4 linked regions of the Astyanax mexicanus genome follow. The protein of the gene in region 2 interacts with the protein of the main gene of each other region in a pairwise test. Links are inferred from orthologs where the notes say so. Each region holds a gene or a part of one and is shown on either strand. Other genes may lie near its edges.

What was found.
Region 1: the proteins of txlna (region 2) and washc3 interact in binary tests that used the Homo sapiens proteins (3 or more experiments, as listed by UniProt). The two-hybrid records come from large-scale screens. The link is inferred for Astyanax mexicanus from reciprocal best matches to the Homo sapiens genes TXLNA and WASHC3.
Region 3: the proteins of txlna (region 2) and cdr2a interact in binary tests that used the Homo sapiens proteins (3 or more experiments, as listed by UniProt). The two-hybrid records come from large-scale screens. The link is inferred for Astyanax mexicanus from reciprocal best matches to the Homo sapiens genes TXLNA and CDR2.
Region 4: the proteins of txlna (region 2) and vacuolar protein sorting-associated protein 52 homolog interact in binary tests that used the Homo sapiens proteins (3 or more experiments, as listed by UniProt). The two-hybrid records come from large-scale screens. The link is inferred for Astyanax mexicanus from reciprocal best matches to the Homo sapiens genes TXLNA and VPS52.

The regions. Positions count from the first base shown.
Region 1 is NC_064409.1:37,361,028-37,368,409, forward strand, and holds the start of washc3 (WASH complex subunit 3), read right to left. Parts: upstream 3,022-7,382; 5' UTR 2,884-3,021; coding exon 2,833-2,883; intron 2,694-2,832; coding exon 2,595-2,693; intron 1,047-2,594; coding exon 981-1,046; intron 1-980. Other genes in the region: cwf19l1 (CWF19-like protein 1), read right to left, coding at 5,380-5,524, 5,625-5,722, 6,758-6,877. UniProt on the Homo sapiens protein: Acts as a component of the WASH core complex that functions as a nucleation-promoting factor (NPF) at the surface of endosomes, where it recruits and activates the Arp2/3 complex to induce actin polymerization, playing a key role in the fission of tubules that serve as transport intermediates during endosome sorting.
Region 2 is NC_064410.1:39,643,911-39,651,566, forward strand, and holds the start of txlna (alpha-taxilin), read right to left. Parts: upstream 3,014-7,656; 5' UTR 2,855-3,013; intron 1,973-2,854; 5' UTR 1,965-1,972; coding exon 1,793-1,964; intron 1-1,792. UniProt on the Homo sapiens protein: May be involved in intracellular vesicle traffic and potentially in calcium-dependent exocytosis in neuroendocrine cells.
Region 3 is NC_064410.1:7,014,912-7,022,854, forward strand, and holds the start of cdr2a (cerebellar degeneration-related protein 2), read left to right. Parts: upstream 1-4,943; 5' UTR 4,944-5,157; coding exon 5,158-5,239; intron 5,240-6,960; coding exon 6,961-7,073; intron 7,074-7,943. Other genes in the region: mfsd13al (transmembrane protein 180-like), read right to left, coding at 1-616, 1,912-2,067.
Region 4 is NW_026040044.1:1,819,059-1,826,059, reverse strand, and holds the start of vacuolar protein sorting-associated protein 52 homolog, read left to right. Parts: upstream 1-3,976; 5' UTR 3,977-4,000; coding exon 4,001-4,093; intron 4,094-5,105; coding exon 5,106-5,190; intron 5,191-6,786; coding exon 6,787-6,839; intron 6,840-6,942; coding exon 6,943-7,001. UniProt on the Homo sapiens protein: Acts as a component of the GARP complex that is involved in retrograde transport from early and late endosomes to the trans-Golgi network (TGN).

The sequences.
Region 1 (7,382 bases), on a different chromosome or scaffold from region 2:
GTACTACAGACTTCCACTAGAGGGCAGACCAGAGAACAAAGCCTAAAAAGGCAGAGACATAACAGTCTGTTGCAGTTTTTTTTTTTTTAAATAATCCTGATCTCTCAGCACCTGTTTAGATGAGTATTATTTTTCCTTTGTGCAGTCGCAAAACAACAAATAGATTAGGAGTCAGACAAAATATCAATATAGCAATATACTGTATTGTTTTCGTTTGTGAGACAGTATCTGTATTTGGGATCAAATATCAATATATTTACTAAAACATAGGCACTCTGAACTCCCTGGACTCAGCCCCCAATTTGACTTACTTATTAAATTTACTGCTTCATTAATCCACATGATGGTTCTAATAAAATAAATAAGGTAAACTTGCAATGATGAATACTGGTTGTTAAAGTCTGTGAAACTGACATCTATATATAATTTATTTCTGCTATTGCTTATCGTCTACAGTAGCACAGGTGCTGAGAAGTATCGTAGAGATTTGTCTTGGTATATATTGAGTATCTCAGAATCACAGTATCATAATATTATCATCATATTATCATTAAAGGTATCGTGCTAATATTGTGAGATGCCCTGTGGTTACCACCTCTAATACAGATATAAGTTATTGCAGACACTGTATTATAATATCTGTATTATATCTGTATCCCCTACATGCAGTTCACACACAAATGCGTAGTTAACAGCAAGTCTATCTCTAGCTCAAGGTGAACAAGGTGAAGTTTAAAATTCTAAAAATGTGTAGATGTTGTAGACAAGAGTAATGAAAAGGCATCAACAGTTTTTCATTTACATTAAAAGGAACAAGCACTTAAACTTTCTCAACAGACTGTTTAGACATAATGAGAAGAGTGATGTTAGTGCTAAGAGAACTGAGTTAACTTGTAAAAAAGTGCGAAATGTCACATATAATCGCCTGCAGAATCTGTATGCAATTGTCTGAGTTACAAAATATTTTAGAAATGTTTTACCTTTGCTTCCAAAATGCTGAGTGTTGTTTCAATCTGCTGAATCCGTAATGATATTGTTGAGAGTTTCTACAATAAAAAATACACACTAGTTAGTAAGATGATCTGACAAATTCACTTCTCATCTCATTTGCCACAATATTAGACAAATTAGAAGCTTATTTTGGAAGTTTACCTCTGTGGGAAATCTTACGAAGAAACCCTGTTTTACCTTGAATGTATTGACAAACATCTCACAATCATGATTACTTATCTTGGTATCTAAAATTACATAATCATCGTGTGAAACCTTGTATTTTATATGCATTAACCAATACTTACACCATATTTGATCATTTTATCACTCACAGTATATTTTACACGCATTTATATAAAAGATTAATCAATAATCACAATATATCCTTTACACATATAGTAAAACATTGTTTGATCAGGCATGTGACTAACACAGACCTTATTATGACAAATTAACCAACATGATATATAAGGCGTATATTAACACATAGGATCTATTATATGGCGGACTAACCACACGCTGCTAACACAGTAACAAATAACATATAGAACCAATTGTTGGGCACATACAGCTTATGCCTGAAGCATTTAGTTTACTGCATGTTTCTGACTGACAATCAATCATCAGCCAAGTGCACTTTGTACGAACTGAATTGATACAAAAGAGACTCGGGTACGAACAGTGCAGCCTTACACTCTGTGTGTGCGTTGTTTTTCATCTCCCAAAGCGGGATGGGAGCACGCACATGGGGAGGACGACACTTTGTAATTATTAAAACAATACCACACTGTTTTTACCGGACTCGGTCCAGTCATGAAGACAATGCCACACTGTCCGATTGGAGACAGTCAAGGTCAAACACTGGTGGTGTGATCAAACCTGGGAAACTTCAGTGCTAACACGTGCATGCTAACATGAGATGATTTTAACAACGCCTCATCAACAGGCTTTACGTCATTTTGGGGTATAAACGTGGAGTCAGATCAGAAGGGGGGTCAGAACTTATGCTGGGACGGCTGTTAGACGGTCTTTCATGTGTGGGTTCTCCTGGATATTCAGTACTTTGTAATAAATACCTGGTTTGCTTTCAACTTCACTCCATCTGTCTGACTCTCTCTATCAAACGAACACGCAGGGGAGTTGTACCCCGGACGAGAGGTGGGAGTAGCCCACCTTTCATTTTCTTTTCTACAACACCTCTTACCAAGACATGAACAGCCTATATCTTCCCAAAATTATCAAGAAAATGTTATACTTATGTGGGAGTGTTCCACAAACCTCTACCCTGCACCTTTTTCTTAACATACCTGATTTAGCTAAGCTTATTTACCGCCCTTTCAGCATTGTAGGGGTGAATTAAAGAAGTAAACACACTAAAATGTGCAGGGCAGGGAGCCTCCAAGACCAGGGCACTGAGAGAGACAGGTCTAGATTAACGTTTTTAGGAGATCATTACTGTAAACGGTCTGGGTCTGGGTCCTTTTCTTTTGGGGGATTTTGCTAAATTATCAACACATCGTAAAGCAATTGAATAAAAAAAAAGTAAATGCAAAATATGGAAATAGGGTAACGTAACCAGCTATTTCAGAATGTTAACCCACCTCTTCACAGACAGATGAGAACCGGTTGAGGAACCGAACCGTGTGAACAATAAACTGATTGAGGAAAGCGACGATTCTTCTTTGCTGAATTGCAGGAACCTGAACACACACACAAACACATAGACACACACAGGTTTCAGCAGAGAGACTGAAATGACAGCTCTCTGATCTGCTACTCAGAGAGTAAACAAGCCCGCAGCTCCAGCTGTAACAGCGCAGACACACAGACCCTCCTCACCTTGGTCAGATCCACTCCCGAGCCCACTATAGGTAACCCGTCCTCGTCCATATTAATCTGATCTTGTACTGTTTTATAAAGCTAATATAAATGATCTTAAGCCGGTATAAATTCCGCTCTGCAGTTCAGTATTCTGAAACCATCGTTCCTCAAGTCTCTCATGTGACTTTAGTATGACCCGCGACACTTCCGCCTGCAGAGAGCTCCACTCCAAATTAAGAGTCCTGGTTTACAGGCCTGTTGGAAGCGTTTTCTCAAACCAAATCTAGGATTTTCCTGAGCAAGGGGGTCACAATATTCACGGAGGGGACAAGTACTATTTCACCAGTCACGCCATGTTCAAACACTTGAACGCACTTTATGTAAGTTTAAACAGTAAAATGTTCAGTGTTCATTTTGCGCAATAAAATAAGATAAAATAAATATCAAAATCTGCCATCAAAATGCCTTCTAAAAATACTAACCATCCAGTGATAAAATATTCTAAGATGGGAAGTTAGCTTGTTATTCTATTAACCAGCATAAGGTATGTTTTTTTCTGGATAGCCAGCTGCTTTTGAGACGGATTTTCATCATCAAAAGGAATTTAAGAATTAACAGGAAAATGTTTATGTTGCTCATTCAAAACAGAAAAATATATACCAAATATATATTTTTATATATACGTGGTTGCTTTATCTTCTTTGCAGTTATTGTTTCTTGCTTCTAAATGCATATATTTTGCAAATTTGATCGCAAATTTTATATTTTTGGGTGAAACTTCTGGCACAAAATGAGCTGCATTTTTTAATATTTTACATGCATTTTTTTGTATATAGAGAAAATATTCTCATACACAAAGCATATGATCAAACCCATTTTATTCTTTTTTTAATTCTTTTTACTTTTGAACAAATACTGTCAGGTCCAAACATTAAAACGTCTCTTCTATATAAGCTTGTATTACACTGGACATTCTTATTAGACTAATTGGCGCCTCTAGTGTTTGGACATTGAAATGCATCCACTAATATTTGATTGGCCCTCTTGATCAATGGACAGATGAGTGACAGGACAGGGGCCCTTCTGGGGGCCAATCAGTTTTTTTTTTACCTGGGGCCAATGCCCCTAGAACCGACAGTGTCACAAACATTTCGCTCAAGTTCTCTTGAGCCGCTGCCAGAGATCCTCTTCATATTAGGCTACATACGTCTGTTATGTTCTTGCTGGAGTGTGACGTGTGCAGTGGTGATGGATCACATATAATCCGATAGGGTGTCGGAAGGTTATATGTTTATACTTCTCATCCAACCATAATCAAATTCACTCTGTATGGATGGAGAGATTTATCTGGACAGAGTTTTTTTTAAACAAGGAGAAGCCAGAATGAAAACAAGCTAAAAGAAAATAGGAGTAATGAGGCTTTTTTTAAATATAAGGAGTAGAAGTAAATAGTTGTCTGAAAAAAAAAAAACAAATTACTCCAGTAAAGTATAGATAACCAATATTTCTACTTAAGTAAGGTAACAAAGTATTTGTATTTCATTACTTGGCACTTCTAATGCCGATAGCTGTAGACATGTAGGTTTATCATGATGGAGCCAGTGAGTAAACAGCGAAAGCTCATGTTGGAGCAGCAAGGAACAGGTAAAGAGAGAGATATTGCACATAGGTGAGTCTCGGCCAAGCCTTTTTAAAACTGCGAAAGCTAAATGGCTGATTGTAAGTAACATTGGGAGGATTTCCCTCTGTTTCTCTCTTTCTATCTTTCCATCGCTTAATATTTGGCTATAAGTTGCTTCATAAGTGAAGTTCATTCCAGGTATGTGTATGTACTTTAATAAACAGTCCGTTATTTGGCACAGATTTGGTTTGAATTATGTTTTACAATGAGATGCATAAATCAGAAACCGGTTTAAGTCGCATTTGCTAGCCATAAAAGTCACAAATCTAGTGGTTGTCTAGACTAGTGTTTACTGATGACTATAGAATGGCAATTTTTTCCAGATTGTGTTTCACCTTTAATCATGCGATGCTCTTTAGCATGTCTAAGGTGTGCCTGAGACAGAATACTATGATCACCTGGGACATCTTGCCTTTTTATATTTGTTTTGTTCTAAATGTCATTTGCTGATGTTGAGCGTGTTGTACAAAACATTCACAACATCCTGATGACTCAATTCTTTAAGAAGTATTTCTAAAAACACAGATTCCAAGCAAACATCAAACTCAGTGTCCACTGTTCAAAAAGTATTTTAATAAACAAACACTTGGTAAAAAGAGGATATTCTTGACTATACAATGACTATGAACAGGTTCTTCCACAAATTCCTTTAAAAACAATAGTCAAGAAAAACTTCTTTCTGTAATATTTTCAACAGAATCCATCTCTGGTCAGTTCAAATATTAAGAGCAAAATGCTGGGATGACATCAGTTTAAAAACATAAAAAAATGAAAATATGTACTGAAATTCTGCATCTGTGTTTGGAAAAAAAAATCAGACCAAATGGGTCATTTTCAAGTGTGTTTGTGTGCATTGAGAAATGTGTTGGTTACTGGCAAGATTCTCAGTCATCCATGGTGAAGTCAAAAGCCTCAAAACCAGAGCGGACCTTTTTTGCCAGAGCCTCTTCCTCTTCCTTGCTGCTTTTACAATCTCTCCAGTCTGACCGCGTCGGAATGTTCATCACTGCCTCGCTTGCCAACACTTCCCTGGTGTAAATATAGCACATATTCATAAACTCGCTTTGCTCAAAAATTAATGTGCGAGGTTTATTTGTGTACAAAGACTCTTTCAAATTGGATTGTTTACCTGCCAAACTGCAATGGAAAGTTCTTCTTGATTCGGTAAAACAGTTTCTCTCCTGTGTCCAGTTCCACATAGAAGTAAGGAGTTCCTGGTGGAGCAATCTTTAAAACAGAGCAAGGAAAAAAGCCAGATTTAAACTTTTTACTTCCAAAAATTAATAAAAACAAATGTAACACTTTTACTCATTATTCAAAATTTCTTTTGATCATTATTTTAGCCTGACTTAATACTAACAACCAAGACCAATACAAAACAGGATACAGCATGTTTATACTTGCCCTTCTCAAATGCTGAAATTCTGCATTGATACTAATGAAATGTGGCTTGTTTGTTAATAAATTTCTTTTTTTATTACTTTTCCAAGAGCTAATGAGCAGAGAATGTTTTAATTAAAGTGAGAGGACTGGAAGGGTTTGGGTTTCACAAATGCTTTGCCCTATACATAAAAAAGCATTAAAACTATCATTCAAGCTACAGTATGTATACATTTAAAGGGCTATAGTTACTGCTCTTGAGTTTTTTTTACACCTCGTATCCAGGGTTTTAGAGAGTTTTGTCACTTGTACTAAACGAATGACTCTGTACCCAGGACCGATTCTGGGCTCATCTGGGGGACAAGAGGAACTTTTCGCCAAGCTGTGGATCGATTGAGTTATTCCAATTGTCTTTTTTCTGAATTAATAATTGCTATTGGTTTTGTATTTTACTCAAATAAAAACACTCATACATTACGAAACAGCATCAGTAACTCCTCTGATAAAGTGCTGTTTGCATTTTTCTCCAGGCAGGACGTAGCGTTTGGCTCCACATTACTCCAGTGTATAAGCTTGTTATGCTAACTGGCTAACGTTAGTTAGCGAGCTGTGCCAGTGTGCTTTTTTGGCTGTACTGTTTTACACAGCACTCCACAGCGCCTCTTGTGGTATGGCGGTATATTAAAAATGCATACCGGTTTTAATTTCCCCTCTGGTATAACAGATGAACCAGTATACCACCCAGCACTAGTGTGAACCCTGATTCAACTTAAGTTTCAGAAAACCTTGGAATACATGTTAGGAAATTATGGAAAAGGCAATAAAATTATTCTTAAATGACCTTTACTCCTCACTTTTCTGTAAGTAAGTGGCTAAATGTACCTGTTTGAGGTCTGTGTGCTCTGGAATTTCCATCAGTTCCATCTGCTGCTCCTGAGCCTGCACCACGAAGGCTTCCTTAATGTCCTCCGTACTGCACTTCTCCATCGGCACAGGCACCACCTACCATCCAGAGGGTGACATGGGTGGGAATTACAGTTGGTACACTTGGTAAACTTTCAGACTATAGTCGACTATTGTGTTTCTAAAGTAAACACATGCTAAGATTAAAAGACAGGCACTTTGGAAAACATGGGGCTTAGCTACAGAATAATAGGCTTTGTAAATCCTGTTCAGGCTAATCATTATTTCTACTCATAATACTATGTTAAATCTGATGATGATGATGATGATGGTCATCATTGGGAGCTTGGAGTCCCTCAGACTGGATTGCTCATCAGGACAGACTGCTTGTCTGCTCAGACTTAAACTGATGATTGAATGTATGTGAGCCTTCACATGGGGAAGAATAGAGCCTTTTAAAATCTCCCTCATACTGCAGATAAGTTCTGCCAGGCCCAAAATCATAATTTATGTGGTGCTGCTGGACTGACCCTGGGTCTCAAGAGGCCGCCCGTTTGGGCAGCAACCACAAATGCAGGCTACTCCTAGGGTTGCAACGGTATGA
Region 2 (7,656 bases):
TATACTGTTTTGAATATAATTAAAAATATATATATTGTACTAAGTTTGCTACACTTTTAAAAACACATTTAGTTAATACCAGCATGGTGTAACTTTATATACTGATGCTGATCTTCTGACATACTCACGCCTCTCTAAATCAATAAATTAGATGTAACTGTCATTTGGAAAAGCATAACATTTTAGTATCCAGTAAATTATTAATTTTCCTACTTCAGTAAATAAAACAGCAATATAGAGGAAAAAGCTGACAATGCAACATAGTTTATTTTTGTAACACATGTTGCAATATAAAAAAACACAGGAATTTTCCTAGAAGTCCCTGATCTTTCAGTAATCCCGATATTAATAAAATATTCAGGGAACCCAAAATTATATTAATTTTAACCAGGGATAAACCAAGGTGTGAATCGCAAATCATAATGCTTCGCCATCAGCAGCCAGAGAGAGCACAATTGGCCTTGCTCTCTTAGGAGTTGGTAGATGGTATGTGCTGACCTTCACCCTACTAGTGTTGGGAGCATTAATAGTGATGGGGGAGTTCACATAAACAGGGATTTCAAAACATTCCTTTTATATGAAGAAGCAAAAAAAAAAAAAAAAAAAAAAAACACTGTCTCCCCAAAGTCTCATCATGAATGAGTTCTTATCACCTGAAATTTAACCCCAGCAAGACTGACCTCCTGTTCATCCCAGGAACTACAGGTCTTCACCACAATCTCTCCATCTCTTTCAAGAATTTACTGGTCACTCAGTCATGCAGATTTCTTCTGTATAACATCCGAACAATTCAACCATTTCTGTCTAAGGAAGCCACTCAGGTGCTGGTGCAGTCTTTTATCATCTCAATACTTGACTACTGCAAATATCTACTGGCTGGTCTTCTATTGCAAGGCATCAGGTCTCTGCAACTAATTCAGAATGCAGCAGTTCGACTCATCTTTAATCTTCCGAAGTTCAGTCATGTGACTCCTGTGCTGCGTTCCCTCCACTGGCTTCCTGTTGCTGCTCACGTCAGATTTAAAACCCTGACGCTGGCCTACAAAGCCAAAAACGGACCAGCTCCTTCCTACTTGACAGCCATGGTCGAAGCCAGATCTGTATCAAGAGCTCGAAGAGCGTTCAGTACCGCTCAGCTTGAACCACCATCCCTCAAAACCAACAGAAAACATTTACATTTAAGGTATTTAGCAGACCTCCTTATCCAGAGCGACTTACAACAGTGCTTCGATGTTACTTACAATATCCAAAGCTAGTTTGTAGACTAGGATCAAGAGATACACAGAGCTTGATCATGTTTAGAACCCTAGGAACCTTTTTTTTTAGTTTAGAAACTCTTTGAAAAGATGTGTCTTTAGTGTCTTTAGTCGACGTTTGAAGACCGCGAGTGACTCTGCTGTTCTGTCAACCAGTAGAAGTTCATTCCACCACCTTGGTGCCAGCACAGAGAAGAGTCTAGATGTCTGGAAACAAACATCCTGACTCTTCTCTGTCCTGCAACCAAGGTGGTGGAACAAACTTCCACTGGGCGTCAGAACAGCAGTTACTTCAAACCCTGATTGATGACTCATTTTTCAGTTCTTAAACTAATCTTAACAAAGCAGAAGTCGCTCTGGATAATAAATAACGTAAATGTAAATGTAGCGTACCTGTATATTGTTCAGCCACAGAAATACAAACTTTGACCAAATCCAGATGGATTACCATTACAGAATGTAGCCCATAATGGCAATCCAGGTGAAATTATGATTAAATTAAAATTGATGAACATATGCATTTGTTCCTCACTTACGGCCTTCATCAGTTCTGGAGCTAATAGTTGGAGAGCTGTCAGTCTGAGTGCTGGGCTCTTTTGGACTGTCGGTTCCTTCAGGACTAACTGTACTCTCTCCTGTGCCATCAGCGCTGCCAGGAGACCCTCCACTGCTTTCCACAACTTGATCCTCTGTGTCTTGTCTCTTCATTTTTCAATCTGCGGACAAAATGTTAAAGTAAGTAAAAGTCTCTCATTCATTCACAATCACAAAAGAGGACATAAAGAATCCTTTATAAATGTTACTTAGGGTGAAAAACAGGCATCAGGCCTGCTTTATTAACGTTAATGTCACATATCATAAATTAATATACTTTTAACTCAAAACGTAGTAATATATGATATATTTTAGTTATGTTTTACTTCAACAGCTAAAGCTAACTAACTTAACTATCTGCTTGGCTAGCAACATCTTTCAACGGTCACAACACTGACTAACGACACTGAGCGACGTCGTTAGCCAGCGTCACGCAACTTGCTTAACAGGCTAGGCTAGCTAACCTAGCTTAGCAACCATAGCTAGCCTTTTGCGAGCTTCTGTAGCTTGTGTTAAATCGTTTCGAGCTTTTATAAACAAGTCAGCTAACCGAAATAAACTGCAAAGGGCTGAAAAACAAGGACAGCTAACTTAAAGCTAAGGTAAGGTACAGCGGCACACCACTAACACAGCTATCTTAGATAGCTCGCTAACGCTAACTTAGCTAATATCGGAGTTAAATCATGACCATTAATCCCCACATAAACAGTAACACCCATAAGTGCACCTCTGTTGACAAACTGCCTGGGTTATAGCCTCGCTAGAGTTGGGTTAGGTATCCATCCAGCTAGCTAAACCTCCCGGACTTTCTGTTGAAGCGTTTTCTGGCTTTCTGACAAGTTTAAACTATCGTTAAGTTAAGCAGAGAGCTAAAGCTAGTTAGCGCCGCGATAAAACACAAGATCAACGCCAAACACCGCGATTAAAACCATTATATTACACAGTCCCACAACAACAACCCCGCTGTTTCAATAGGCTGTAGTGATATAAAGCTAGTTAACCACCTGGGTCTCGAACAGCTCGGGTAAAATCCTCTTCTCTCCGCAGAAAAAGAAAGTGTGTTTGCTCTGCCAGCGGACACAGGAAACAGAGAGAAAGAGTGAAAGCGGATTGGCGAGGTAGAAACACCGCTTCCGACACAGACACCGGCACAGCGCGAGTACACACAGCCCACAAAAGCCCCCAAATACCTCAGAACTAAACGCGGAGACCCCCTCCATTAAAACCGTCATTTGTTCCATTCCCTGATAGCAAATCGTATAAACGTCATTATTTGTTGCATTACATATCTTTTTTAGGAAAAAAAAAAAACTTTAAGCAACCTTTATTTAACATTATCTACGACGGCGTTTTAGGGCCACTCTTAAAAAAAATCACTTCGAGAATAAAGTCGCAATATTACAAGAATAAAGTCGCAATATTACGAGTTTAAAGACAAAATATCACAAGAAAATAAAATTGCAATATTACGAAATTAAAGACAATATTATGAGATTAAAGACAAAATATCACAAGATTAAAGTCGCAATATTACAAGATTAAAGTCGCAATATTACGAGTTTAAAGACAAAATATCACAAGAAAATAAAATTGCAATATTACGAAATTAAAGACAATATTATGAGATTAAAGACAAAATATCACAAGATTAAAGTCGCAATATTACAAGATTAAAGTCGCAATATTACGAGATTAAAGTCGCAATATTACCATATAATATAAAAACCTAAGTCTTATAATGGCATATTTATGAAATTATACTTGAATATAAGAACTCAGTAAACACAATTCCACATTGATAATGCACATATCATGTATACTTCACAGGAATTTACTGTATTTATGTTCCTTTGCTTGCAAAAAATGATCTAAAAGGCAGCGGTAAATCTTTGCTAAGCAGTGCGAGCACTCACCACACTGGAGGTTTCTCGCGGCGAGGGAGCTGAAGGCTTGGCTACCGGGACGCCACCATGGGAACATCTGGACACTGTATTATCTAACTGTAGCAACAGAGCATAAATAAGCAGCAGGTTAGAAATATACATAACTGATGATAATCCCAGCAGCCCTGTAACAGATCATGAGTGGAAAAATGCTCCTTTCCTTCCCTCCATGCTTATATGTTGTGAGGAAAGGGACATAGAAATTAGTTATATTGTTAAATTGATGCCTTTAAGACACCTTAATTATTGAAGACTTTCACTCTCTCTATAATACCCTATAACCATATTATCTCTGTAGAAGATTCACTGCTGTGTGCCATAAGTTAAAAAACACTGGTCTAGTTTTAACCTTCACTGCTACCCTTAAACATGTGAATGGTGTTTACAAGTTCTTACAAGTAATTTATGTCCATAATGATTACATGGATATGCTTGACCACAACTGTATATTTAAGCACAAGTTTTTATTTGAAATAAAGTGTGTGCATGTGTGTGTCAAACGGCTTTATATATAAATAAAAGACATTCAAAGACGTTTTCTTTATAATCGCCGTTTTTATTTTTTGCATGTTATTTGCATTCTGGACAAACCTTTTATACCTCTTTAAAACATTTGTTCAGTAATGTTAATGTACATGTTTATGTTTTCGTGTGACATGTTCAGTTTGTGTATCTGTTTCTAGTCACTCATTCATACCGTCGGTAAAGTCAAGTCAGTCACAGTATACGATGGTTAATTGTTGGCAAAAGAAGGAGAGAAATACAATTAAAAAGAAACAAAATCACAGGACCAGGACACAATAACCAACCAGGGTGAGACTAAACAGAAAGTAGGAAATAAAAAAAAAATAACTGAAATAAACATATTGTAAACAAGTTAGCTTTTTTCTTTTCTTTTTCTATTTTTTTTAACGACACACAGCCAAGCATTACGCACTGGCTTTGGATTTGGAGGAGACAAAAAGTCTCAAGGTATAAACATCTACAAGATCTAGGACGGAAGACCAGAAAGACTCAATTTAACTGTACATGTGTGGCCTTTTATCTTTTTTTTTTTTTGCACTTCTTGGAAGTCATTGTTAATCAGGGACAGTGTGTGAACTATTCCTTTAGTAAATTCTGCCAATAATAACAACAATAAGAATAGGTCTGTTAATTTCAGATTCATGAAGCCCTGATTTGTTAATCTCTCTAAAGGATGTCCTTCAGTGAGCACAACCTGAAGTAAAGCGTTATACATCCCTGGATATGGCAGATTTAAAGTGGCGCAGGTGACTGTGGTTCCTGGCCTTCTTCTCTGAAGCTTTACTGCACATTTTCTTCATTTGCAATGGTAAAAGACTCTCATAGAGCTGCAACCAGTTTTGCTGCAAGTAAAGCCAAGAGGAAGTCAGATTTGGGACAGTCAATTGGGTCTCCACACTCAGTGAAACTTCTAACTGAGATTGTATAAATACAAGCAACATCAAAAACACTGAAAGTCCTTGAACGAACAGAAAAGAACGTGTACAATATCGATGACAGCTGGTATCTTTCTTGGCTCTTCTGTGCCACTGTGAAAGAAAGGTACATTTTCCAAAAGGAGACACAATCAATCCAAGCAAACAAACCAATGTAAATTAGTCCAGCATAATAAATTAGCTTTACATTTCAATTTCTATTTTTGATTCAGTTTACCAATTTGGTGTACAAATAGCAGACTGCCACATGTCTACAGAAACTGTGCAGATAATGTAACCTCTGATTAATATAAGATATGAAAATAGAGCAGCAACATTTGCACAAACGCGTGCACATTCAAGTAAATAAACAAAGTCTGGGAAAAAAAAGAAAAAAAAGGAAGGAAAAAATAACAAATACAAAATTAGACATGTTGATATGCATCAACCTCCAGTCTTTGTTGGTCTGATTGGCACTTTTGTGAAAAGGAGTGCATTTTCATTTTAAATTAGTTAATTCTTTTTTTTTTTTTTTATTATTACTGCACCTGATATTTCCCCATGAGAAACATGAGAAATAGTGTATACACTGCCTCCCCCATTCCTCCCTGTTAATTATAATCCTATTTATTCCTCTTTGATGTGCACGGATAAGCAGGTACAGGTAGCTGCAGCATTGCTGATTGCTCTGATCTCTGACTATTCCCTTTAAGGGCACCTTAAAGTCTCTAAAGTCTAGTTAGCCACTGTATTTTTAAATAAAATGGTCAAAAACTGATATATTTTTAATTTATTTATTTATTATGAGGAGAATACTAGTATGTTGGATGGACATCTAGATTTTGAGCATGCTGTTTGGGCTGAGGGTGTAATATCCAGCAACATTTTTCCAGTCAGCAATTCCTCTAAATTGAATGATTTTTCAATCATTAAATCACATTAACTTCTATATATTTTTTTCGATTCTAACAAAGCCATGCATATTTCAAATGATCACTTTCTATTAGAAAAACAGCCTTAATTTTGGCCTGTAAAATGCTAAATCGAGCAAGATTTGATTCCAAATAAATGTTTTCACTTTGGCTATTCTTTACACAATCAAACTATTTAAAAGGGCAGCTGATGTTTTAAATAGATTGCTATCTTGGTTAAAGTGACAAGGAACTCAAAACACTAAAATATCCTACCACCTCATTCTTATAGGACTGCCACAATTTAGCTAATAATATAGAAGCCAGGCATTGCTACTGTTCTACACCAAGGCTTTTTTAAAAAGGTATTCCTAACAACTTTAGAAAAGGTAAACACCTCCAACATTAAATGGATAATTTGGCAAATTATCAAATATATATGATTCATCACAAACAGAATATGCAGATCAGTAAAGATCCAGGGTTTCCCAAAAGGTTCATAGCACAAAGTTTATTCTTAATTGGCCGAGCAAGCTTTACCCCGAGCTCTCTCTCTCTCTCTGTCTCTCTCTCTGTGTCCATGTTAAGATGTTTTTAATGCTAAGATGCTTTTGGGAAACTAAGTCCTGTTTGTTGACAGCCTTTCGATTCCTTAGTTTAGAGCAGGAGGTGCTAAGCTAAAGTTGGTAACAAAAAGTGAACCTAAAATTTCACCAGGTCCATCTAATCTCTGTAAAAACATGCCAGATGGCATGCTTTAAAAAAAATCAAATATTTTGGCAAACTTTTTCTTCTTTACTTGTTGTGCAAAACTGCATGATTAGACATTATGTTAACATATTAACATTTAACATGTTAATTATATTAACATTTAAGCTCTGAGGATAGAGCCACACAACTTTGTTCTTAAACCATGACAGCAAAGTTTTTGGTCATGAATTAGCCTAGCATCTCCTGTTGTGATCTAAAACAATGGTTTCTGGCTGCTTTAGCTGATCAGGTAATTCATGCCAACTAAATGTTTCTGTACAGGACTCGGCAGATTGAGCATCGCTCCTCTTACTCCAATACTTAAATGCTATAATCTTAACTGCAATAAAACTGCAAATCATTCTCTATATAGTGTACAAAAGAGCAACTTCTATAAACACTGAGAAACCCAATGCTACAGTAAACAGAGGACATTGTCATGCACCAAATAGCAGAAAACATCATAGACTGCAACAGCAGAGCTGAATCGCAACAGGTTTTATACATATAAAATACTGTAACTATATCAAATGCAGTACACTTGCACTGAACTGATAAAAAGTGTCTACATCCACAATTCTGCTTAAGAGAACCATAGTTTCTCATCTATAGAATTATATCCTTTACCAGAGAAAATGGAAAGGAATCTAATGTCTGACGAAAATAATAAATCAATCAATTTTTGCTTTTGTAATAATCCACTCTGGTCCATGACCACATTTTTTTTTAGATTTGGGGGAAAAAAAACACAACACAGTATTAA
Region 3 (7,943 bases), about 33 Mb from region 2:
AGAAAGCCAGCATGAAGACCTGGAAGAAGTTCATCACCACAAACAGCTGGAAGTCTCTGTTGGTGACAATCTGCCACGTCATGGTGGTCACCGCGGACAGGGAGAGGGTAGGCTGCTGAAGGTTCGGGTCCGAGCCTTTTTTATCAAAGCGGCCCTCGCTGTAGAAGCCGGTGTAGACCATGCAGGCGCAGCCCAGCAGGGCCACCAAAAAGCAGAAGCCCTGAAAGGCGGCAAAGTTGTCCATGTTGTTGGAGATAAGGCCGCAGAAGAGCACGCTGGAGGAGCCCAGCAGAGACGCTACCTGGTTGTATTTAATCAGCCTCAGTCTGTTCTGGTGATGCTCCGAGATCTCTGCAAACAGGGCACACTGAGCCAGCAGCACGAAGGTCAGCATGCCATCAAAGGCGCATAGTGTGACTACCAGGTGTGCTCCACTCATCCAGTCCCCGGATTCATAGGTCCTCCAAGGGAACCAGGCCAGCAGGAAGGCCAAGCTGTAAAATGGAGCACCATACAGGATGGACAGTCTTCGTAAAGAACAGCAGGACATGCTTGAGTTGTCCTGAAGGTATCCAAACAGTGGGTCATTCAATGCGTTCCAAATCATGTAGACCACCTGTAGACCACAACAGATGTTATATAACAATTCATTTTTGCCAGATAATCTAAATAACTTTAATTAAGAACTCTTTGACCAACCAATTTGACCATTTCAGAGTTCTTCCTGGAACATTTCCGATGAGCCTACCAAACTAATCTTGTGTTCCAACAATTAGTGCCAAAGGTATTCAAATCAATACAATGACAAGAGCGCCCAAATTTATGCACCTGCCTAAGAGTGTTTTAATAATTATTGCACACCTTCTGTAAATCCTATAAACTTAATTTCATGTTCATCTGCTTTATGATACATTTAACTAAAATTGCTGATCCAAACAATCAATGATTTATAAAGAAAAATCATGATAATGATCAGGGGTGGTCAAACTTTCATACTACTGTAATTTGGATGGGCTTCATTCCATTCATCAGCATGTCATATTTTGCTGATTAACCTGGTTAGGCTGATCAACCAGTTTAACCAGCTTCATCAGTTTAAGACTGCCTTTTTTAGGAGGGGCATTGCTGTTGTGATGCATGCTACGTGAGAACACAGATAAGTAATAATACAACAAGTATGCCAATTCTGTGAAACAAGTGAGGCTAAAAGATGCAAAGGAGCTTCTGTATGGGACGTAGTTGTTTATATACAGCTTTGGAAAAAAAATAAGAAACCACTTCTGAATCAATGTCTCTGATTTTGCTATTTATAGGTATATGTTTGAGTAAAACGAACATTGGTGTTTTATTCTATAAACTTCGGACAACATTTCTCCTAAATTCCAAATAAAAAATATTGTCATTTACAGCATTTGTTTGAAGAAAATTAGAAATGGCTTAAGTAACAAAAAAGATGCAGAGCTTTCAGACCTCAAATAATGCAAGAAAACAAGTTCATATTCATAAAGTTTTAAGCTTTCAGAAATCAATATTTGGTGGACATAATAACTCTGTTTTCATGCATCTTGGCATGTTCTCCTCCACCAGTCTTACACATTTCTTTTGCTTTTGGATAACTTTATGCGAGAAAAAAAAAATTAAGCAGTTCAGTTTGGTTTGATGGCTTGTGATCATTCATCTTCCTCTTGATTATATTCCAGAGGTTTTCAATTTGAAAAATTAAAGAAACTCATAACTTTTAAGTGGTCTCTTATTTTTTTCCAGAGATGTATATGCATACATGTGGCTTGCAAAACCCCCCTTTAGGGGTACGTACAGAGCTCATACAGTAACGTTACAGCTCTATAGATACACTGGTATTGAGGATATCTCATTATTTGTTTAGGGTCCACAGTGTGCAGGAGCCCTCACCTGAGACTGGTGGAAGGCTGATTCAGATATCCTGTATTTGTTTAGGAAGAGTTTCACGTAGTAGAAGCTGAAGATGCTGTTCATCATGCTGGACCCGAGAGTGGTCATTGAATAGGCCACCGCAGCTGGATGCGCAGAGAGCCTGAAGAGCTTCATGATGTGAATTTGTCTATGATCATCTACAGATTAAAACATTCATAACACACACAATTCACTGTCTGACAGCGAGCTCGGCTAAACTGCTGCCTGGACCTGGATAAACCTTTTTCCGTGTGTACGGAAGAGGCGGATTCCATGTGTACTGGGCGTGTGTCAATCGGAAACAGGCTGAAGGCAGCCTAACGAGTGTGCATACTTGTGCCCTAATAAGCAGTGAATGCTAGTCGAAGCTAATTAACAAACTGCATATTGTATTCTTGCACACTGAGCTAAATCAATTAACTTAACTATAATAAACCTGTCTAGTTACATCTGTTACTAGAGATATTTTTTCCGAACCTTAAAGCCTGATTTAAACATTTAGCCAGTTAGCCTATGTTAAACTTAATAGCTTACTAGCTAGTATCTAGTATTTAGCATTAGCCTGTTTAGCCTGAGTTATCCCTATAAGCTTACCAGCAATAGTTAGTCTTTCTTTGCCTGAATTATACATTTTAATTAGAATTTGGGGGATAATCATTATCTGGGATAATGATTTTAGCCAGTTAACCTGTCACAGCCTTTTAGCCAGAGTTGGTCCGTTTTAGTGTGCATTAAACCTGTTAACCTAGGTTAGCCAGGGTAATCTTTTCCACAACTGAGTTTCAACTTTCAACAGCATGTTTTAACTAAAATGAACTAGATAATCTTTAGAGCAAGAATTGGTTTGTTATATTTATTTTACATTTAGGTCAGTGTTTGTCTGTTTTAGCTAAACCTTTTTAGAGTTAGAGTTAAATCTGGTAACTCAGTTAGTATTAGTCTGTTTAGCCTGGGTTAACCCTATTAGCTAGCTATCTAGGTTATAGTTAGCCTGCCTATGCCTGAGTTAAACATGTTAATCTGTTTTAGGTTTATCAAACACTTTATCCAGTAAGTCAGATTGAATAATTTGGGTGTTTGTTCGTTGATCTGAAATTATTAAGTGGAGTAGAGAGTGGACAGGCAACTGAAAGTTTTTCAGTATGGAAACAGGATTTTAAATAACTTATTAAACTGCAGAAAAATGGGGTTTTGTGTCACCTACCTACCTGTGGCCCATATATGCCAAACGCCTACCTTTCTGAGCCCTATTTGCTAGATTGAACCTGTTTCAGCCTTACATCTGTATATAAACCAACCAAAAAGCAAAATATGGGCCTAGTTTAAACATGATAACATGGTCACAGTGCCATCATCAGATGTTTGACAAAGTCTTTGTAGAGCTTTTAGATGAGACTCGTGTGACTCACAGGTTTACATTGTCAGGCATGTGACCATTAGTTTATACTGTGATTAATGTTTATTTTAGTGTGTGTGTGTGTGTGTGTGTGTGTGTGTGTGTGTGTGTGTGTGTGTGTGTGTGCGCACTGATGTTTGTACACTTTGTACACAGATATTGTACGAAAAATGTTTGACACATACGACACACTTTGCATGTTTTTGTATTGCCTTCTTTTAGGGCTATTTTCCATCTGCTACAACTGTGTGATGGGAGTGATAAGAAACACCTTGCTTTTTATATTGCCATCAGTGTTAATCATCTAGAGGAGGTGTGTTTTCTCTCCCCGAGATAGTCCAACATAGTTTGGTGATTTGTCTGCTCAAACACAGCTGGTTCCACCTAACCGTTAGCTGCCAGGTTCAGTAGTTGGTGTGTTTGAGCAGGAAAGTCACTAAACTTTGCTGGACAGCAGTCCTCCAGGATGGGGATCAAATAGGTTACAGTGTTTACACAGCTTGTGTGAGATGCGACACAGAAGTGTCAGTGTATCAAGAGAGATGAAAAAAGGAAAACAATTATTTTATATTGTATGCTTATAGTTTTATATTGTTGTAAACAAACATTCTCAAGCAAACCTGATACATTTGGCTTCGAATACAATAATTAATCATAATTATTTATGAAAAAAATCTCAGTAAGAATGTAGTTGCAGTCTTGTAAATAGTGACCCTGCAAAATCTCCAGACTTTGCAATATCTTAGCCTGTGACTAGTCTATGACTAAAAAGTCTGTGACTTGTCTTTAGACGTGAGAGGGTGTCTACGAAGCCCCTAAGGTGACATCATGTTGAAAGAACTTATTAGAGCATGGGAATGAGATCCTAATACGTGGTCACATCTTATTCAGGGGTGGGAACAAGATCCTAATGTGTGGGAATAAGATAATTAAGGCATGTGAATTAGATTAATAAGTCGTGGCCATGACTTATTAAGCTGTGGGAACAAAATAATTAGGTCATAGCCAGAAAATAATGAAGCTTGCTTTTCTAGAATTTAGCTTTTGTTTTAGAAGCTTGCTTTTTAATCTAGAATCATGCCATGTCTCAGTGCAAGAGACTCCAAAATATCGCCAAAATTCATTTCAAGAGGAAAATAAAAAGAAACCAATTCACTCTCCATCTTCTTACAAATGATGATCCTTGAATTAGAGATTTGATGTAACATTCAGTCGTCTTCATTAGCATTAATTTAGGGAAAAGCAAACTTTATTATTCTCTGGCTCCAACTTAATCTTATTCCCACACCTTAATTATCTTGTTCCCACGTATTAGGTTCTCATGATGTTAGTCTTTTTAAAGTCGTCTAGTGTATAGTTAGCTTAACCCTCCAGCCTAACAAGAATCAGGACACCATACCCCTAGACGTGCACGCGTAAAAAAACAGAGGGGTAGGGCAAAGAGGAAGGGCCGATGAGTGAAATGGGATTGGGCCTTTGTGTGTAGGCAGCATTGTTGATCTGTTTAGGACATACCCATTTCCTTCCGCCCCGCCCTCTTTCTCCTGATTGGTCAGTGACGGTGTCAATCAAGCGGCCGGGCTCGGTGTTATGGTGCGGATTGTCCCGCCCCCTGTTGCTGCCGCCGCTGCTTCAGTAGTGAGGGCTGTGAATTTGCCACGTTGCTGTTGATGCGGAGAAGCGAGTAGCGGAGCGGCAGCCGGTGGAGGAGGAGGTGGAAGAAGAGGGAAATGTAGCGTCCAGACAAAGAGAGCAGCTGTATGAAGACTTCCAGAACTTGAAACTAATACTCGGTGTGTCGGAGAGAGACCCCCTAAAACCCAGCCAGCATGCTGACCGATATGATAGTGGAGGAGGGATTTGAACACAATGAAGAGGAGCTGTGGTACAGCAGGAAGGACCTGGAGCAGGGTGAGGCTGGGAATGCCAGTGTTTTAGCTAATGTTTATATCTGTTTTATTAACTAAATTAGTTTATTTCTGTTCTGAAACGGAAGTTGGTATTGTTGGAATTGACCGTTCCACCTTAAAAGTAACATGACGAGACGTGTGAGCTTCTGTAACTGCTGCACTATTTAAGGTGGAAAGGTGGAAATATTGTTGGTTTATTGAGATGTTAATGTTAATTTCATGTCTCTATCCAATATCCAAAGACTCTCTCACTGTGTTCTACATCACAGTAACGGTGCTTTGCTGTTGGCTTCCCCCTAAAGCTACGGCATAGTTGTGTCAGCTGAAGGTCACGCCCATAGAGGCCCTTTTAAAGCTTCATTGACTTCACTGCTGCAGTGACTGCTGATGCAAGTGGACCAGCATTGTTGGCCCCTCACTCTTTTAAATAAAGGAGAACCACTTTTGTTTCCAAAAGGCTCAATTTTGTAAAAGAGGTTTGTGTGAATGACATTTTACAGACTTAAAAAATAGTCAATTTATGTGTTCCCCACCAATTCACACTGACGGATCCTATACAAAAATGGTTCTTCTATGGCGTTGCAAAAAAAAATATATATATATACTAAATTTCCTTAGAAAATAATTCAGTTAACCAATCACTGGTTCAAAGTACCTTTCTTTCTATCTAGGCAAATATATATATCAAGTAGCCACAGATTCATCTAAACAATGCACAAAAACTAAGGCAATTTGTATTTGGTTGATTCTTTTTTGTTGGACCAATGCTTCTTGGCTATACATCTTGTACAGTTAAAAAGCCTGTAATTTTATCTTTTTAAATGTTGTCACATTGGTAAGAAACATGCATTTGTTGGATAAGCACTAGAGCACAGTATCTTCTCTGCCATTGCCAAACTTATTCTGCTCATTCTGCTGTTGTTATTGCCACTTGTTTTGTGCTTCTGCTATTCCCAGATTAGCATTGGCCCTGCTAAAGTGGCCAATGGATGACTGCTTCATCGATTGGCATGCAACTTCAAGCTGTTGTGCCACAAAACAAGTTCCATATAATGGAGCGATGTCTGAGACGTGCCACAAAGACGACATCCCAAAAAGATCATCAAGCACAGAACAAGTCAATGGCAGAATGAGCTGTTTGTCATTGTCGGAGGGTAGCTGGTGATTTTTCATGGGAATGACTCACTTACTCAGCTCTGCTGCACATCTCACAAATGCATGTTTCTTACAAATAAAGGAGAAGGGGAAAATAAAGTTTTCGCTACATACACTATATTGCCAAGTTTATTTGTTCACCTGCCTTGCATTTTATGCACTCTTTACTGAAATGTTCAGTTTGTCAGTGTTATTTAAGCACTGACAATATTCACAAAATGTTACACAGTATTTTGTATATCACAATACAGTAAAATATCACATTACCCTCCCCTGGCCTAATGATATTGATGTTTTCTTTTGGAACAAATAGCATGGGTTATTCAATTTGATATGTTTTTTGACAGCCATTTGTATGTTAACGGGTTGCCTTCAAGCGTCCTTCACCAAGACCATATGAAGCAGGCTACTTACGTCTAAAGCAGTCCTTGTAACTAGCTCTTGGATAGATAAGTCTCTTATGACTCATACCTCGAGACTGTCCGGCCTCTGGCTGACAGGATATTCTGTCGTGCTGTGCTTAATGTTTACTGTTCGTGTGTGTGTGTGTGTGTTTCTCTGAGGCAGATTTACATTTGGCCGCACAGCTGGGCAAGACACTCCTGGACCGGAACCATGAGCTTGAACAGGGCCTTCAGCAGATGTACTCCACCAACCAGGAGCAGCTGCAGGAGATCGAGGTTACATTTCCCCTCCAGCTATGTTCTGAAGTTTTTACACTGTTTCTTGGCAGGGATAAGGGGCCCATGTACCTCCACAAGATATGAGCTGAGAATTAAGCTTTTTTAAAAAAAAAATAAATAAATAAAAAGAGGATTAGGATAAAAACTATTTGCTGTTTTGAAGCACTTAGTAATTATACCAATCGGTTTCTGCAGCACAGCACTTTTCTTAAGCCCAAAGACGTTCTGCATCAACAAAAGCATATATAGTTCTGCAGCAGGCAGCGAGAGGACTGAAATGTGTACCAGTAAAGTTGGCACAAGAAAATCTAAGTAATAAGTAGTGGAAAAGTCATTGGACAATAGCTGTAATAGCTGAGAAGCATCCCAGCCAATTTACTCTAGTGGTGGGCTTTGGAAACAATATAGAGTCCTAAATTTAGAGTCACTTTGCTCTGTGATGTAGAGTAATTGACTCTCATGTGTAAACAAAAAAAGCTGTGGTGAATACTGACTGTATACTGGTTGTGAGCAGAGGAACCATCCAAGTCATGGATTACAGCATCTTCATTGGCTAGACAAGAAAACTGACCTGATATGTGCTTTAGAGTCACTCTGGTGGCGTGTTAAAAAAACTTCCAAGCTATGAAATAGAATTGCTTCAGCAGTGGGTCGAGGACAACCTACATGCCACAGGGTAGAGTAACACTGCTGGTGAAGCAAGGAACCTTCCATGTTGTAAAGTAGTGTTAACACTCTACCATCTATTCTAGTGGTGTTATCATACCATATTTTTCGCACTATAAGGTGCACAGTATTATAAGGTGTACTATCAATGAACATCTATTTTCATACATGAGTGCATCGGGTTATAAGGTGCATTTTGCT
Region 4 (7,001 bases), on a different chromosome or scaffold from region 2:
TACACACACACACACACACACTATACACACACATACTATACACACACACACTATACACACACACACTATACACACACATACTATACACACACACACTATACACACACACACACACACACTATACACACACACACACTATACACACACACACACACACACACACACACTATACACACACACACTATACACACACATACTATACACACACACACTATACACACACACACACACACACTATACACACACACACACTATACACACACACACACACACACACACACACTATACACACACACACTATACACACACATACTATACACACACACACTATACACACACACACACACACACTATACACACACACACACACTATACACACACACACACACACTATACACACACACACACTATACACACACACACACACACACACACACACACACACACTATACACACACACACTATACACACACATACTATACACACACACACTATACACACACACACACACACTTTACACACACACACACACTATACACACACTATACACACACACACACACATACTATACACACACATACTATACACACACACACTATACACACACACACACTATACACACACACTTTACACACACACACACACACTATACACACACTATACACACACACACACACATACTATACACACACATACTATACACACACACACACTATACACACACACACACACACACACTATACACACACACACTTTACACACACACACACACACACACACTATATACACACATACTATACACACACACACACACTATACACACACACACACACTATACACACACATACTATACACACACATACTATACACACACACACACACTATACACACACACACACACACTTTACACACACACACACTATACACACACACACACTATACACACACATACTATACACACACACACTATACACACACACACACTATACACACACACACACTTTACACACACACACACTATACACACACACACACTATACACACACATACTATACACACACATACTATACACACACATACTATACACACACATACTATACACACACACACACTATACACACACACACTATACACACAAACACACACACACACTATACACACACATACTATACACACACATACTATACACACACACACACTATACACACACACACACTATACACACACACACACACTATACACACACACACACACACTTTACACACACACACACTATACACACACACACACTATACACACACACACACTATACACACACATACTATACACACACATACTATACACACACATACTATACACACACACACACTATACACACACACACTATACACACAAACACACACACACACTATACACACACATACTATACACACACATACTATACACACACACACACTATACACACACACACACTATACACACACACACACTATACACACACACACACACATACCTTCCTACAATTGCGTATATGTGGGGACCGGGTAAAAGCCCCGGTGAACTGAGGACCATAGTTTCTGCAGTAGTTAGAGAGCAGCAGTTCGAGTGTTTAGCCTCTAGATGTCGTCCAGATGCGGGTCATCACTTCAAACTGAGACTTAACCAATCAGCTGCAGAGTTAGCAAAAAAGTTTTTCACCACAGGAGTGAGGACATGAGCGGTTACTAGGCAGAATATGCAAATACCTTATTATGAATCTGCGCATAAACCTCAGCACCGCCCTCAGCGGTGCAAATATTTTTACAATAGAAATACACTCTGAAAATATCCTAACCACCGAATACCTTTAGAGTTCTGGTTTAGAGTGATTATTAAATACTGGACTTTATCTGCACTTTATTTGCGCGGGTCAGCGGTTAGCATAGCCGCTAGCGCTTCACTAGGCCATTACGCCGAGAAGAAGAAGCCCGCCTACAAGTCTGTCTGACGAATAGCGACCGAATATCTACAGGTTCCATCCAATCCGGTTCTAGAAATGGTCTCAGTGAACGTCTGATCTGCAGAAACAGCGTTTATGATAGGCTAAATCCTCCGTCCGTTAAAGCACGGCGCTTTACCCGCGTTGGACCGGAGCGCGTTCAAAATTCCCCCGCGAGCCCGCGGCGGGATAATAATAATACACATTAACACTGACCCCAGTTAAACCAGTTCACCAACACCACCGTGGCCAGGTATTAGACCAATCAAACACGTGGCCTGCACTGCTTTTGGGAAACGTACCCCAGGATGGTTAGACTTTTGTGTTGTTCAGAATGTATATTATTTGTTTAATGCCCAAGCTAAACTTACTTAATCTGTGTGTGTTTCAGATTCAACTATCCTGCCAGTAGAGAGAGGATGAAGATGAAGAACCACTTAAAAGACTTTTCATTCTTGTATTTTGTGGGGAATTTATTTTATTTATTTATTTGGTAGCATATTTTATTTACATCAGTAATGTATATATGTTGCCCTTCATGTTTAATGCTGTCAGTAAAAGATAATGTATAATAATAAGGATCACGTGTTTAAATATTTATGCTAGAAAAGGGAATTTTGAGGTGAAATGGTAAGGAAGGAATTCATTAACATTTTGGTATTTATCTTTGAAACTTTATGATATTTGTTTTGTTGCATACGCAAATGTTATTAATATACTTCATGAATATTAAACAAGCTGTTTATATTTATTATTAAATATTTCATATTTGAGGAAATATTAATTTTAAGTTTTATTTACAGTCAGTGCTTATTAAATAGGACAGTTTGGGGGTTTATTTATTAATAAGAGTGAGGGGATTTTAATGAGGGGATTTTAATGAAATTAATTAGGGTAAAGCTCTGTAAAGTGTGCCGCTGGTAGAGAGGGGTGAGAGGTGAAAGGGCGTCAGAGGTAAGATGGTGGATGTAGTGCGTGTCACTCCCCGATCTGTACCCCCTGCCTGCGCACTGCAAACTGAGTGAGATGAGCAGGGGCACAGATCGGGTAGGTAATGCCAAGGTGTACTTCCGCCCACACTGTCGCAAACAGCTCGTACACTGTGGTGTCAAAATTAAGGATTTTAAGTTTTACAGAGCTGTGCAGAGTACATTTTCGTTAAATTCAGCATTCACGCCATCCTCCAAGTAAGTAAGTAAGTAAGTAAGTAAGCTTTATTTATAAAGCACTCTTTACACAGCTTCCACTGCCCAAAGTGCTGTACACAAAATGTCTAATAACTACACATACATACAACCACAACGAAGGAATGGGCAAGGAAAGTGTGTGTGTGTGTGTGTGTGTGTGTGTGTGTGTGTGTGTGTGTGTGTGTGTGTGTGTGTGTGTTGAGAGAGATATGGGTTCGCTCTCATGCTTTTTCTGAGAGTAAAATAAACTGATATTTTGATGAATGTGTTGTACCTGTTATTTATAATAATTTGCTGTGTATTTTAAGAATAAAAAGAATTTTTAAATGTGAAGTAATTTACAGACTTGGTATATGTAACAAAAAATAAATAAAAACACAGCAGGCTCACACATTTTAACAGATTATTTTCGATTTTTAATTATTTTAAACACCTATCTGTCTATCTAGAATTCAGAAAACGGAAGTTAAGCTTGATCAGCGATCTCACAGCGCCGACAACTGTTGACAGCCGTGGCTGCCCGATCTGCGCCCCCTGCTCAGTGTGCAGTGCGCATGCGCGGCACAAATCGGGCAGGGGGTACAGATCGGGGAGTGACACGGGGTGGTAAGTTGTAGGTTTTTTATGTGAGTTGTAGTTTTTAATGTGGGATTTGTAGTTTTTTATACGTTGAGTTGTAGATTTTTTCATTGTGAAATGTAGTTTTTTTATAACTGTTGAAGTTATAGTTGTAGTTGTTTTTAACGGGAGTTGTAGTTTTTTTATAGAAGTTGCAGGTTTTTTACGGTGAGTTGTAGTGTTTCTGGGAGTTGTAGTTTTCAGTGTGTCAGTAGTAATGGCGGAGGTGTTGGTCTCCGGCGGGGCTGCGGCTGATTTAACCCCGGCGGGCGGAACCGGGAGCGCCGCTATGGCTTATCTGCAGGAGGAGGTACCGGCTGGTTAATGTTAGCGGGGGGTTTCGGGTCGGTACCGCGCTGTGGGCGGGTGTTCGGGGGTTCGTGGGATCGGTACCGGAGTGCTGACGGGGTTCTGGCGGCGGTTTGGTCTGAGCTGGGCTTCAGTACAGCGGGTTTATAACTGATACTGATCTGTATTACTGTTATAAACTCAGTTAATAACCCTACTTATTATTGATTATTGATTTATAGCGTTTATTCCGCTGTAACAGAGCTGTTATAGCGAATCAATCTATTACACTGCATCATTAGCCTAGCTGTGTTTTGGCCTACAGACGCCCTTCATAATAAAAGCCCTCATAATATAAGGCATCATAATTTCTCTGTATCCCATTTATGTTATTAGATTAACCATGGAGACAATAGATTCATATTTATTTGTCTGCTCCAGACAGTCCTAATCTATTGGCAAAACTGAAAAATACAGAAATAAACAAGCTGTGTGTGTATTTGCACATCTATGTCAGCAATGGGCGCAACCAAATAAACTGAATAATGATTTCCACTAGTGGTGGGCGATATGGCCCTAAAATAATATCATGATATTTCAACAATACACTACTGCCAAAAAATGAAAATTAAATGTTATTATTGCATGTAATATGATATGTGATTATATAACTGAGATATTAAAAAATACAATAAATTTTCATTAGATTTGTAACAGAAGTCAGTGATCATGATACTAATAATATTAATGCACTCCAAATATCTTCATATATCCAGGATTAAAGTAAAAGAAATCTCTAGTCTCTAGTAGATATATAGTGGGAAATAAGAACAGTGTTATTTTTTCTTTTGATAAAGACAGTATAAAAGTAGAACCCTGGTGTGATAATTAGGGGTGGGTGATATGGCGCCATATTTCAGGATATAATATCATAGTTCACAATGGTGGCGATATTATTGGGTACGATACGATGCAGTATCTGGTTTAATGAGCTGATGTACTGAGTTTTGTTGTTTTTATTCTGACTGTATCAGAAGCCGGACTCTGATCTGGTTCCAGCTCTGAATCTGGGGGATCTGGATATAACCACTGATGAGTTCATCCTGGATGAGGTGGACAGTAAGTAGCTGCTTATCCAGCTGTTTTACAGTAAAACTACTTTTAAATCCCAGATCAAGGGTGTTGTGCTGAAATTCGACTCCCCTTGGTGATGTGCAGAAACGTGAGTCTGTATCTACTGTAACTGTAGCTTATTTATCATAATAATAATAAAATTATAAACTTTATTCATAAAGCACCTTTCATACATTAAGGAACATAAGGATATGGGGTGGTGATCACCCTGACCTATAGATAGATAGATAGAGAGATAGAGAGATAGATAGATAGATACTTACTTTATTTATCCTGAAGGAAATTTAGGCATCCAGCAGCAACAACACAATACAATAAGAAACATACTCAGACAAATCAAATCAAAACACAAGAATAGAAAATATATAAGACTATAAAAAACCTAACTATGCAAGGTAAGGATCTATCTGTAAACGGAGCAGTGCAGTAGATGTTGCTAATGGTCATTGTTAATTAAATAATTAACAGAGTAAAGTGCAATGTGCAATGACATCGATTACGAAAGTGACTGTTGTGACATAGAAATATAATATAATAAATTTGCATACGTTAGAAGACAGTTCTAAAAAGAGAATGTGAAAATGTGAATACCCAATCATGAGTAAGGTATACTTTAATGTAAGCAAGGTTGGGGAAGTGTTAGTGTAAATAATTAAGTGGTTGAGTAATAATGTTCATGTGGTGTGACTGGGTTAAACTCAGTCGGCAGCAGCATCCCGTCCCCGATGGGAGGAGTTAAAGAGTCTGATGGCTCTGGGAATGAAGGATTTTCTGAGTCTGTCTGTTGTGCAGCTCTGTGACAGCAGTCTGCCACTGAACACACTCCTCTGCTTCATGATGGTGGTGTGAAGTGGGTGACTATCATTGTTCATGATAGAAAGCAGTTCATCCAAAGTCCTTCTCTCAGCTATTGTAACCAGAGAGTCCAGCTCCATTCCAACCACTGCCCCGCCCCTCCTGACCAGCTCGTTCAACCGCAATGCATCTCTCCTCTTCATGTTGCCTCCATAACTATAAATATATAACATAACTATATAACTGAAACTCTTGTGGCTGAATGCAGTTAAATCCTCACAGCAGTGTTTCACCTCCAGAATCAAGTAGACATTCTTCTCTGGACAGTAGAAACAGGATAAACTCGTTTTTAGTATGCATGATTTCAGATAGATAAATGGATGATGGATGGATGGATGGATGGATGGATGGGTGGGTAGATGTTTAAATAAATGGATACACGGATGGATGGATAGACTGATGGATGGATTGATGGAAGGATAAATTGGTGGATACATTTATGGATCCATAGAGGCATAGATGGGTGGATGGATTTATGGATGAATGGGTGGGTGGATGGATAAACGGATGGATACATAGATGGATGGATAAATTAATCGATGGGTGGATGGATCAATTGGTGGATGAATTTATGGATCCATAGAGGGATGGATACACGGATGGATTTATGGATAGACAGACAGACAGATATATAGATAGACAGTCAGACAGACAGACAGTGTGTGATGTTGAGTCTCTGGTGTTAATGTTGGTGTAATAAACCTGTATGTGTTTATTTGTGATCAGTTCATATTCAGGCTAATCTGGAGGATGAACTGGTGCAGGAGGCTCTGAAAACGGTGAGATTATTTATTATGTATTGATTATGTTTGATGATGTATTATTGTGATTATTGATCTATTGGTAAATGTGTTGTATTGATTGTGGGCGGGATCTGTGCAGGGGGTGGATCTGAGACAGTACTCTAAACAGGTGGAGGCGGAGCTACAGCGTATTGAACA